Linked DNA regions of Neodiprion lecontei. Each later gene encodes a partner of the first gene's protein in a complex. Links are inferred from orthologs where the notes say so. Each region holds a gene or a part of one and is shown on either strand. Other genes may lie near its edges. The genes, in order: polycomb protein Sfmbt and polycomb protein Scm.

Region 1 (5,047 bases):
CTTTAATTTGACTACACAATATATTACAATCATACTTTTAAGTAATTTATAATCCATACCCTAAATTGATTTTGACGTGTAGAAACGTAATAGAAACAGAATTTAAATTAATATAGATTATTTTTTTGTTTATTTTTAATCAAATCGTACATGTTTCCATGTGAATTGAGATTAACTAAGAGCTACGTAGATCACAAATTGCTCTTAAGATCACTCAAAAATTGGCATACGTGAGAAGCAACTTTCTCAGGGTGATTATTGTGTACGTCATGATTACCTTCAACTATTAGAAACCTGTGTGATTTCATCAACCTATCTGAACTAAGCCATAACATTTTTTCATAATGAGCTGTAGCCATTGTTGCTGTTGCGGCAATGACTGTCGCAGGTGATTTGAGTTTCTCAAGTAAACTCAAGTGTTGATCAGAATTAAATACCGGAAACAAGCCGGCGTTGAGTCGTACGTCGCGGTTCAACTTGTATTTATCACCAATTTTGGTAACAGATCGCTTCATCAAAGCTTCAGCAGCAGCAAAATTTAGAGCAAAGAATCTTGTATACATGAGCATGTACATCACTTCGTCCTCTGTATATACTTTCATAGTCTTTTCTTTCCCTTCAATGCTCAAAATATTGTCATGTACCTTTCGAATGTGGGGAATTAGTCTATTGTTTGTAATTGGCGTAGCAGTAACTGCGTCAAAACATAAAATTTTCTTTACTCTCTCAGGATAAATTGAGGTGAACATCAGTCCCATAGTAGCGCCTAAACTATGACCTATATAGATACAATTGCTCCATTTAAGACTATCTAAGACTCTGCGAAGAGCTAAAACGTGATTTAAATAATCCAGGGGTAACCCTGCAGGGAAGTGTGACGATAATCCATGGCCCGGTAAATCAATGCAGACAAAGTAATAATCGAATGGTAGAAATGGAATCAGGCGATCAAATGATCCTGCATTGTCCAGAAGACCATGAACCATCAAAACAGGCTTGCCATTAGGTGAACCCCATGCCTTGGCTGCTATGTGACCCCATGGCATTGGAAGACGTAGTTCCTCGGGTGACATATCTGTGAATAAAAATGGAAAACTTGACACAAAATGGTGAACTTCAAAGTAAGTGCATATTTGTGAAGATTTCACCATTCTTCCAAGAGGATGAAATGACAACTCCTACAAGATGTAATACTGTTATTTGGCATAAAGCAACGACATAAAACAAGACAAAGGTAACACGATGAACGGGTGATACAATGCTGTGAGTATATGATTATAATACAAAACAAATTGTTTGGCCTAACGGTTAAATCACCTTGATTGTTGAGTTACCAGTTACACTCAAAATTTTTAGTTACTGATTATCAGTTTTTATTTGGCCTTAGAATGGCAACACTTAAAGGTCAATCAGAGATAAGATACTCAACGTGCTTGGCTATCAATGAACTGAATATATACCACACGCATAACTACAAATCTGTTTATTATTTATGAGCAAACGGTTTTCTATTCGTCAATTGTACATGCATTTGTTGATACTTAGGACCTTATACAAACGGTCTTAACTTAGGACTGATACAGCTAGTCAGGCATGCAGGTCTCATAACAAGTGAGAGGTGAAAACAGGTAATTGACAATAATTATACAAGTCGTCCTTGGTCCTTGGATTGAAAGTTCAGCAACTGTTTATCGTTTGTTTTTCGCATTCAAATTAATTTCGGTATCCTGATATGATCCTGACACGCTACGTAAAAATGCCATCAATTACTGGCAGGAAAATTATCTTTCATTGCGTTAACCACAATTACGTGGCAATTATTTGACGAATTGGTAGATTTACAGCAGTGACAATTGATCTTTGAACTTGGCCGAGGAACCAGCGTTATATCTACGCAAGGCCTACACACTGATGCATAAGGTATGCGTAGTTAGATATTGGACAAAAATGGGACGTGTGCAGTTTGTCCGTCGGTGATTTGGTGTGAAGTAGATAGATACAGCAGCCCAAGGGATTCCAACGGGAAGTGAAGAATCGTATGGTACGGCCCTGGGGTTTAAGGAGGGCGATTGCGATGGTGGGGATGAAGCGAATAGGCCTACCACGAATGTTTTTCGCTATTGTTCGGTGATGTCGCGTAAAACACAATTTTTTTAAGTGAATCTCGGTTTACGGGTGAAAATTTCGATGATAATGTTCTTCGTGTCGATCGGGATGGAGTACCCACTGCGCGAGAAACACAGATTGCGGTAATACCGGGTCGAAATCTCCAAATAAACCCTCCGAAACCCTTTGTCATGGACATGCAGGCCTCCAATGGTTTGTATATATCTTTACCTTTTCTCAATTTTCCCCATAACTTTCAGATAGTCGTAGTTGAATGTTTTACTGCACGGATAAGACCTCCTTTTTTTAGATTCTCTCCCAAGTTTTTCAAGGACATCATTCGGGTCGAAGGTAACGTATGTAAAAAGGTTAAATAAACGCAGGCTTTCGGGCGCCAGGCGTCGGTTTCAGGAGCGTAATTAATTTACAGCCGCTAGTTTCCCTTGCTCGCCCCCATCCCCCTTCCTGCTCCCTCTGCACTCCACATCGCCGTTTCTATGTGCTTGAATGCATTATATCACATATGAAAAATCACGTAATATAGTATTATTCATATCTTAACAATACACGTTTTTATCTGCACGCACTAAATACTCTTCCAAAGTTTTCCTAGGTCTTTGGGTTCGTACCGCCGAAGCAAAGGCGCTCTCGATGTGGTATGGACTATTTATGATGAATGGAACACTTATCTGTATAACTCTGATCAATTTTCATTTCTACATAATAAGTACATCGAAAATGATGTATTTTTTTAAATCCATTCCCAATACTTCTCGGAAACAACATTTTTTACTCTAACGTAGAGATCATATCAATTGTGTGTTACGTCCCTGTCCGAGCTCTCTTATGTTTCATGTATTCGTCACAATTGTTTCGATTGATAACTTTGCACAAAATTGTCACTGTAGCGTGTCATGCTCTCTTTTTAAAGCAGTACCAAATGCTTCATATATTGGATTGCCGTGACCATAGCAGGTAGCTTGATTAAGCTTACATAAAAATAATGTAATTGTGTTCGTCAGCGGTAAAATACTTCTGAGATTTTTCAATGCGACTTGACATAGTAGCACATTTAAGATCTTAAATCTGACTTCTACTTTGTAAAACAAAGCATTAACTATTGAGTAATGAGCCACCTAGTTATTCAAGCCAGAGTGGATCAGATATATCCATCCATTCATCTGCTTTGCTTGATAGTAGCTATCATCATAATGAAACTTGATTCTGTCAGAAGTGTTGAATAATGACGATATTCATGGACTAAGAAGTCACGTGCTGGTTCAATTTTTTTTCGGTCCATCGTCATATACGACGTGTATAATCAATGCATTGCAATGGACAATATGCTCTTTTAAATTAGAGCGATGCTCATTCAATGATAACTACTGCTCCTGTTACTGTAAATAATACGCATTAGCTCTATATATCAATATCATTAGAATTATATTTATGGTTCTATGTCTATTTACCCATTCACTGATATTGCGATAATGATACTGATACATACGTCTAATAAGCTTAACGTTCTCTATATCCAGTATATACATCCATCCCTGGGATGCCAGAGCTGGGGATGGTATGGATGAGTGACATGATGATGCATGGGGAGCCAACACATGAGTTGATGCTAGACCCGCGCCAACCAGAAAGCCCTTTTTTCTCTCATGGATCTCATTCTTTTGACGATCTGCGTAATCATCACATGGGCCCGCCTACTATGGTGCGATATTTGGCCCCACAGTTTACTGCCGAATGCTCAGAACCTGACGAAGCGATGGAGGCTGTGGATACTCAAGAAATACAAAATGTAAGTTATTTCATATCTCCCGTCGTAGAAGACCATTCTCTGATTATTGATTTTAGATCATATCAATTTTTTTGATGAACAACGTTTGTACATGCAGTCAATTTGTTTAAAAATATTGTGTAGGAATATGACCCGCAAACTGGGCCAGAGATGAGCGAGTACATGACTATAGAGGATTACATGGCTGATGGAGATCGTGAACAGGTGGTCACAAATGCAGCTACGCAGACCCAAGACAATCGAAACCGCAAGATCAAACCTATAAAACATCCAGGCTTGGTCCTAAAGACTCCAATTGCTTATCAGCCACATACAGATTTGAACTTTATACCTATCCGTAAGGATGGCATTGGTAAGTCATTCTTATAAGAAATATATTTTATAATCACGTCTAGCAGGTATGCATTACAGTTGAAGCTTGAAAAAGATACCATATCTTAAAAAAAGAAAAGTATCTGCACACAAATTATAAGACTGCGCTATTTAAATAACTTCTGTGATGTACTTCACCTAAATTTTAAAAAATACGAAAGAAAAGAAAAAATGGTTAATCGACAACGTTTGGGTTTTATTTCTCTATTTTATTTACTGGTTTTCGATCAGGGCAAATGAATTAACTGAAATACGAAAATTGATGCTCGATGAATAAGCACGTGAAAATGTTATGGCGAAGCTAACGAAAAGCACATACTTCAACGTGAAGATATATTTCTCAATATATGTATATGTTTCAATCACGTATAATTAAGATGCAGGAGATAATTGTGGATTCAGTCTCTTTATGTCTAGGCTATTTGCCACGCATCTCCTTGTCTACTATCATCGCTTTTTCCTGTTATTATGAATCTCCACACTGTAACTGGACACTTTTCTTTCTATCTTTATATTCGTTTACACACTTACTCGATATAAATTCTTTCATCAATTCCCTGTTATTCCAGGCACTCATTCTCTTCCCTATTCAGAACCAAACATCTCAAGTCCATCTTGTATTTTTATACTTCTGATTAATGATATCATATAGAAATTGTTCAATTGGATTTGATCAGAATTACGATCCTTCATACTTGCAATTTTCAAGTGAAATCGTCCATGAGAAATGTAATACTAGTGGCAAGAGTTTCTTAAATAGCG
Region 2 (5,169 bases), on another chromosome or scaffold:
CCATTGATTCTCAGTCCTTTCTTAATTTCCCCCGTTGTTACAATATTATCCAGGTGCTAGACCACTATGAAAATCCGAGGAATGTTGGTTCTCTTGATAAAAATGACAAACATGTGGGAACTGGCCTTGTAGGAGCTCCGGCATGTGGCGATGTCATGAAACTTCAAATAAAAGTTGATGAAAATGGAAAAATCACTGATGCTAAATTCAAGACATTTGGCTGCGGATCAGCTATCGCCTCTAGCTCTCTTGCTACTGAATGGGTTAAGGGTAAAACGGTAAGTTCATGCTTCGATTAATCCTGTGTGTGCATTATACTTTAAACATCGCTAATCACTATTAATATTTGTAATCAGGTTGACCAAGCATTGGAGCTAAAGAACACTGACATTGCAAAGGAACTTTGCCTTCCACCAGTCAAGCTACATTGTTCGAGTAAGTTTTAGCCCATTAGATTGATAATAGCATTGTTAACCTTTCGTTAGTGGCACTTGCTTGCACAACGAATTTCATTGTGCGGACAGCACTCTGCCACCTATGTTAAATGAAATGGGACATTGCCACGTCACAATATAGTAATGAAATCTTTTCATTAAACAGCTTATTTGATTATTTTGAAAATATATGTATCGAACATAATTTCTTTTAAATCTAAGAGTATATAAGCACACTGTGTGTATCGACCATCTTTACTGTCAGCTGAGATGTTCCAAGTCAGCTCTGGCAACGTGGTCGGAAAAATTGAATCAATGATTTAACTCGTGTAATGAGCACTGTGCTACTATTTCACGATCTTATTGAACATTAATATACTTTTCTTATACATTAAATAGTTATCAATTATGAGTATATCCAACTATAGTAAACATTTCAAAGAAAAAAGTAGTAAAGTATGAAGTCACAGTTACTCATATAGTTACATATATTGGGATTTTTGTCTAAAGGCTAAAGTCACGCTCAAAGTGCGAGTAATGAAAGGTTAAAGATAAGATTTGTATGACGAATCAGAAATGTAACTGGGTTGCTGGCATGAAAAATTAATAATTAATATTTCATGTACCAAAATCCAAGTGCTATGGTTTTTCAGTAGCTAGCTGGTAATTTAGTAAAGTAGACTTGGTAAAAACTATAATTTTTATTCTATATCAGAAATTCAAGGCAATATTTCCAAATCCAGTTTTTAAAAATCCATTTTAAACTTTTTTTTAACTTGCATTCGTAGGCATGTAAATTACTATAAAATTTAAAAAATCCTTATTTCAGTGCTTGCAGAGGATGCAATCAAGGCAGCACTTTCTGATTACCGCATTAAGCAGCAACCAAAAGCCAAAACAGCATCTGGCAGTAATGAAGTTTAGAGTTGCATACCTAGAAGTATAAACAGCACCAAGCAGGAAAACAAACTTTATAGGTCATAGTTGGCGAAAAATAGTATATTGCATCATATCTTGCAATCCAAATTAGTCAACGTTTAAATTGAACGTCTAATATTCTTTACTGTAGCTATCTGCTGTAGTACAATCTTGGATGATGAATACAGAATCTATAATAGTTACATGTATGATCAAGTTTATAAGAGTGAGATTCTGATCGAACGTAAGTACGTCGTTTAATTTCAAATTAAATTTCTCCAACTGACTTATACATGTATGTATATACATATAAACTTACATATGTATATATAGTATTCACTTGTATCCAAAATAATTGAAATTATATTTTAGTACGCATAATATTTATTGTTCGGGTTTATAAAGCTTGCGGTTATGCAGGTTCACGATATATCATAGTGATAATTACCTTGTGATCCTATTTTTCATGGAAATTTATATTTTATTAAAGTATATTATACATATAATAGCAGATCGGAAAAATTCTACTGAAGTAATAAAAGTGGCGTTCAAGCATTTTGGGTATATCTATGCCCTCAATTCCCGTTACTTATAATGTGCGTAAAACTTTAATGTGCATACTCTCAAATTAGTACAGGATAAGTACAATCTTGAGGAGAGTAAAAATTAATCCTCTAACTCTCGAGAATGCTAATGTCCCCCGAACTCGCGTCGGTTCAATAGATACATGCGGGCGGTAAGATAATTGAATGGCGCTATTATGCCATATTTGCGAGAGGTGATGACAATCAACGACGGGCTCGTCGCTGGCTAAAATCATCAGTCTCTCTTTAGCCTAAGCATTGACCCATGTTCCTTCCCACTCTAGAAACTCAGCCTGGTGCTGGTCACAGTATAAGAATAAGTGGTCCGACTCGTGCTGGATGCTGTGATTATTTTACCAAAGTTCACCAGCCGAGTCCAGGTGTCGCATAGGCCGAAAAACCACCGCCCGCAAAAATTTAAATCGTCTTTCAGAACAATTTGTATCCGCGCAAAAGTTGACGTTTAACATACAACCCGTTAATACCACTTTATAAATAAATTATGATCTTCGGGAACGCCAACTAACGATACTGGTGTTTCCGAATGCCGATACCCGTACTGGCAGTCAGGTACATAGCGGAACTTTCCCATTTTATTTTAATGTATCAACGGAGTAATCTAAAATTGCACCAGAGCAAATGAACAACCCGTTCACGAACTCCGTGACCAGAAACAAAGTGATCAAACAGGTTCGAAATAAAGATACAGGAAAAATATGTTTTCACAATCATCTATTGTGACACCAAAGGATACACGTGGCGGAGAGACAGGGGACTTTAGTAAAACAACAATCACAGAGCCTTGCATCGGGAGCAGAGACTAGTAGAGTCTCTGTCGGGAGTATAATAGAGCAGTCGGACGGACTAGGTATCTCTTAATTTTTACACCGTGGCGGCATTCGGCGCGAGTTCGGATCGGACAGGATTTGGTTCCAAGAGACACCGCGCGCGACTATATAAAAGCAATATGGCGGCGTTGACAGTAGACTCTGTGCTTGTGGGTGTATAATATTATCAGAATGAAAACTACGTAAATACAGTAGGAATTATAATCGTCAAACGTCCTACGTAATCAATGCTTAATGCGGATCGATAATATTTATATAATTATACTGCGCGATCCCAACCGAGCCGGTATTATTTTCAACCCGGGAACAATTTTCCGCGCTCAGGGGGCATTCTCTAGATGCCAAAATGTGTATCGTTAATGGATGCAAATTCTTTTGATTGTAGGTGTCATTGTTAGTTGGTTGCATAAATCATTCATGGTGGTTAGTTTTGTTTCTGGCTTATATTATTAGCCAAATTACTACCGGCCAGGATGTCTGCTAACCAAGGGAAGATGCGAGGTATGATATATCGCACGGTTATAATACGTAAATAACCTCGTCTTTCACTTCTAATGTCTTTTTTTTTTTATTCTTCAATTAAAATCGCAAGATTATTCAAATGCTATATATCTGTACTTTTACATTAAATAAGTGTGTAAATCTCTATCGTTATATTGAATTATTACTACCTTGAAATTAATACCTTCTAAATGATCTTCCATACATGAAAGATAAATCGTAACGATATTTCGGCATCATTGATTTGAAAAGAAAGATGTGTCAACGATGTATTTTGTAAAATAACTTCAAACAATCAGATTTATGACTGAACAATCACATCATGTAGTTTTTGCAGACCTATTTAAAGTTAATATTTCAACTTAGGCCCAGGTCGACCACCTAAACCAAAGAGTTCCTGCACTTGGTGCGGAGAAACAAAGCAGCCGTTGAAATACGTACTGCCGACACAGCATGGAAAAAAAGAGTTTTGTTCAGAAACTTGTTTATCCGAGTATCGCAAAGCCTACATCAGAGGGGCCTGCGTGCAGTGCGATAATGTGATTAGAGGGACTCCAGTCAGACTGGAACAGCGTGATACTCCAATCAAGGATTTTTGCTCTTCTTTCTGTCTTAATAAGCATCAAAAAAAAGAGAGTGAATCAAGAAAAAGTTAGTAATAATCCTAGATCAATAGACTCATTGATGTTTACTGTTATGGCGATAATGTTATTTCTCATAATATATTATCACAATATATAATCTATGTGTCTTTAAATATAGACAATGGTGAGCAACCATCTCCTGCAGCCTCTCCTGCACCTTCTGGCCTCCCTAGTGGAAGTAGCATCCCTTCGACAACGCAATCTTATACCGGCACCAATAGTCAACCAACTGTATCTCAGCCTCCTTCAACATCATCTGGTCCTTTCCAGTATGAGACGTACCAAACGTTTGATTGGGAATTATATCTCAAAGAGACCAACAGTGTGGCTGCACCTATTGATTGCTTTAAACAGGTACTACTTGTTTTCATCTTCTATTTTAGTTTCCTTTTTTGCACAGTATAAAATCTACCCATTGATTAAATTGATATTTCCCTGTAAAATGGCAGCACGAAGTTCCGCCAACAAATGAATTTAAAATGGGAATGAAACTTGAGGCACTGGACCCTCGCAACTTGACTTCTACATGCATCGCAACAGTAGTTGGAGTCTTGGGGCCGAGATTAAGATTGCGACTCGATGGTTCGGATAACAAAAACGATTTTTGGCGCTTGGTAGATAGCAATGAAATACATCCGATTGGTCACTGCGAAAAATCTGGGGGAATGTTACAACCACCGCTAGGTTTCCGGATGAATGCATCTAGCTGGCCAATGTTTCTTTTGAAAACGCTTAATGGCGCTGAAATGGCACCAGCTAAAGTTTTTAAACGGGAACCAAAAGATCCACGTTCCAATCTCTTCGAAGTTGGGTACAAGCTCGAAGCTATTGATAAGAAAAATCCACAACTTATATGCACAGCAACTGTTGGCGCTGTAAAGGATGACATTATTCACATAACTTTCGATGGATGGAGAGGTGCTTTTGATTACTGGTGCCGTTACGATTCTCGGGATATATTTCCTGCAGGCTGGTGCTTTAAAAGCGGACATCCGCTACAGCCACCGAGGCAAAAATGTAAGCCCAATTAAATTTAATTTTTCTGATACAGATACACAGTTGTGAAAGTATTTTTTAAATTTTAAACAGAAATATTGTGATCCATCATGATTAGATAATAAATAAAAATAAATTATTTCTTGCATGACAAAATTTATAAGTTGGATGGTTTTGAACAACCACGGAAGTACTATCGTAATTAAATTACTCTGGATCGATGTGTTAATATTCATATTTTTAC

The links.
Region 2: the proteins of polycomb protein Sfmbt (region 1) and polycomb protein Scm are in contact, whole or in part, in a crystal structure (PDB 5J8Y), measured with the Drosophila melanogaster proteins. The link is inferred for Neodiprion lecontei from reciprocal best matches to the Drosophila melanogaster genes Sfmbt and Scm. Residues at the interface, in NP_001260432.1 of Drosophila melanogaster: Lys1176, Asp1177, Met1180, Met1185, Lys1186, Val1187, Gly1188, Pro1189, Leu1191, Lys1192, Asp1195; in NP_001247006.1 of Drosophila melanogaster: Lys831, His832, Glu833, Ile834, Asp835, Lys837, Ala838, Leu841, Leu842, Met846, Lys849, Tyr850, Met851.

What each region holds. Positions count from the first base shown.
Region 1 is NC_060262.1:36,178,096-36,183,142, reverse strand, and holds the start of polycomb protein Sfmbt, read left to right. Parts: upstream 1-2,046; 5' UTR 2,047-2,297; coding exon 2,298-2,319; intron 2,320-2,337; exon of another isoform or gene 2,338-2,458; intron 2,459-3,644; coding exon 3,645-3,913; intron 3,914-4,036; coding exon 4,037-4,265; intron 4,266-5,047. Other genes in the region: serine hydrolase-like protein, read right to left, coding at 192-1,073. UniProt on the Drosophila melanogaster protein: Polycomb group (PcG) protein that binds to the Polycomb response elements (PREs) found in the regulatory regions of many genes.
Region 2 is NC_060263.1:33,902,964-33,908,132, reverse strand, and holds the start of polycomb protein Scm, read left to right. Parts: upstream 1-2,036; 5' UTR 2,037-3,257; coding exon 3,258-3,285; intron 3,286-3,651; coding exon 3,652-3,936; intron 3,937-4,047; coding exon 4,048-4,283; intron 4,284-4,378; coding exon 4,379-4,946; intron 4,947-5,169. Other genes in the region: iron-sulfur cluster assembly enzyme ISCU, mitochondrial, read left to right, coding at 54-278, 357-435, 1,264-1,358. UniProt on the Drosophila melanogaster protein: Polycomb group (PcG) protein. PcG proteins act by forming multiprotein complexes, which are required to maintain the transcriptionally repressive state of homeotic genes throughout development.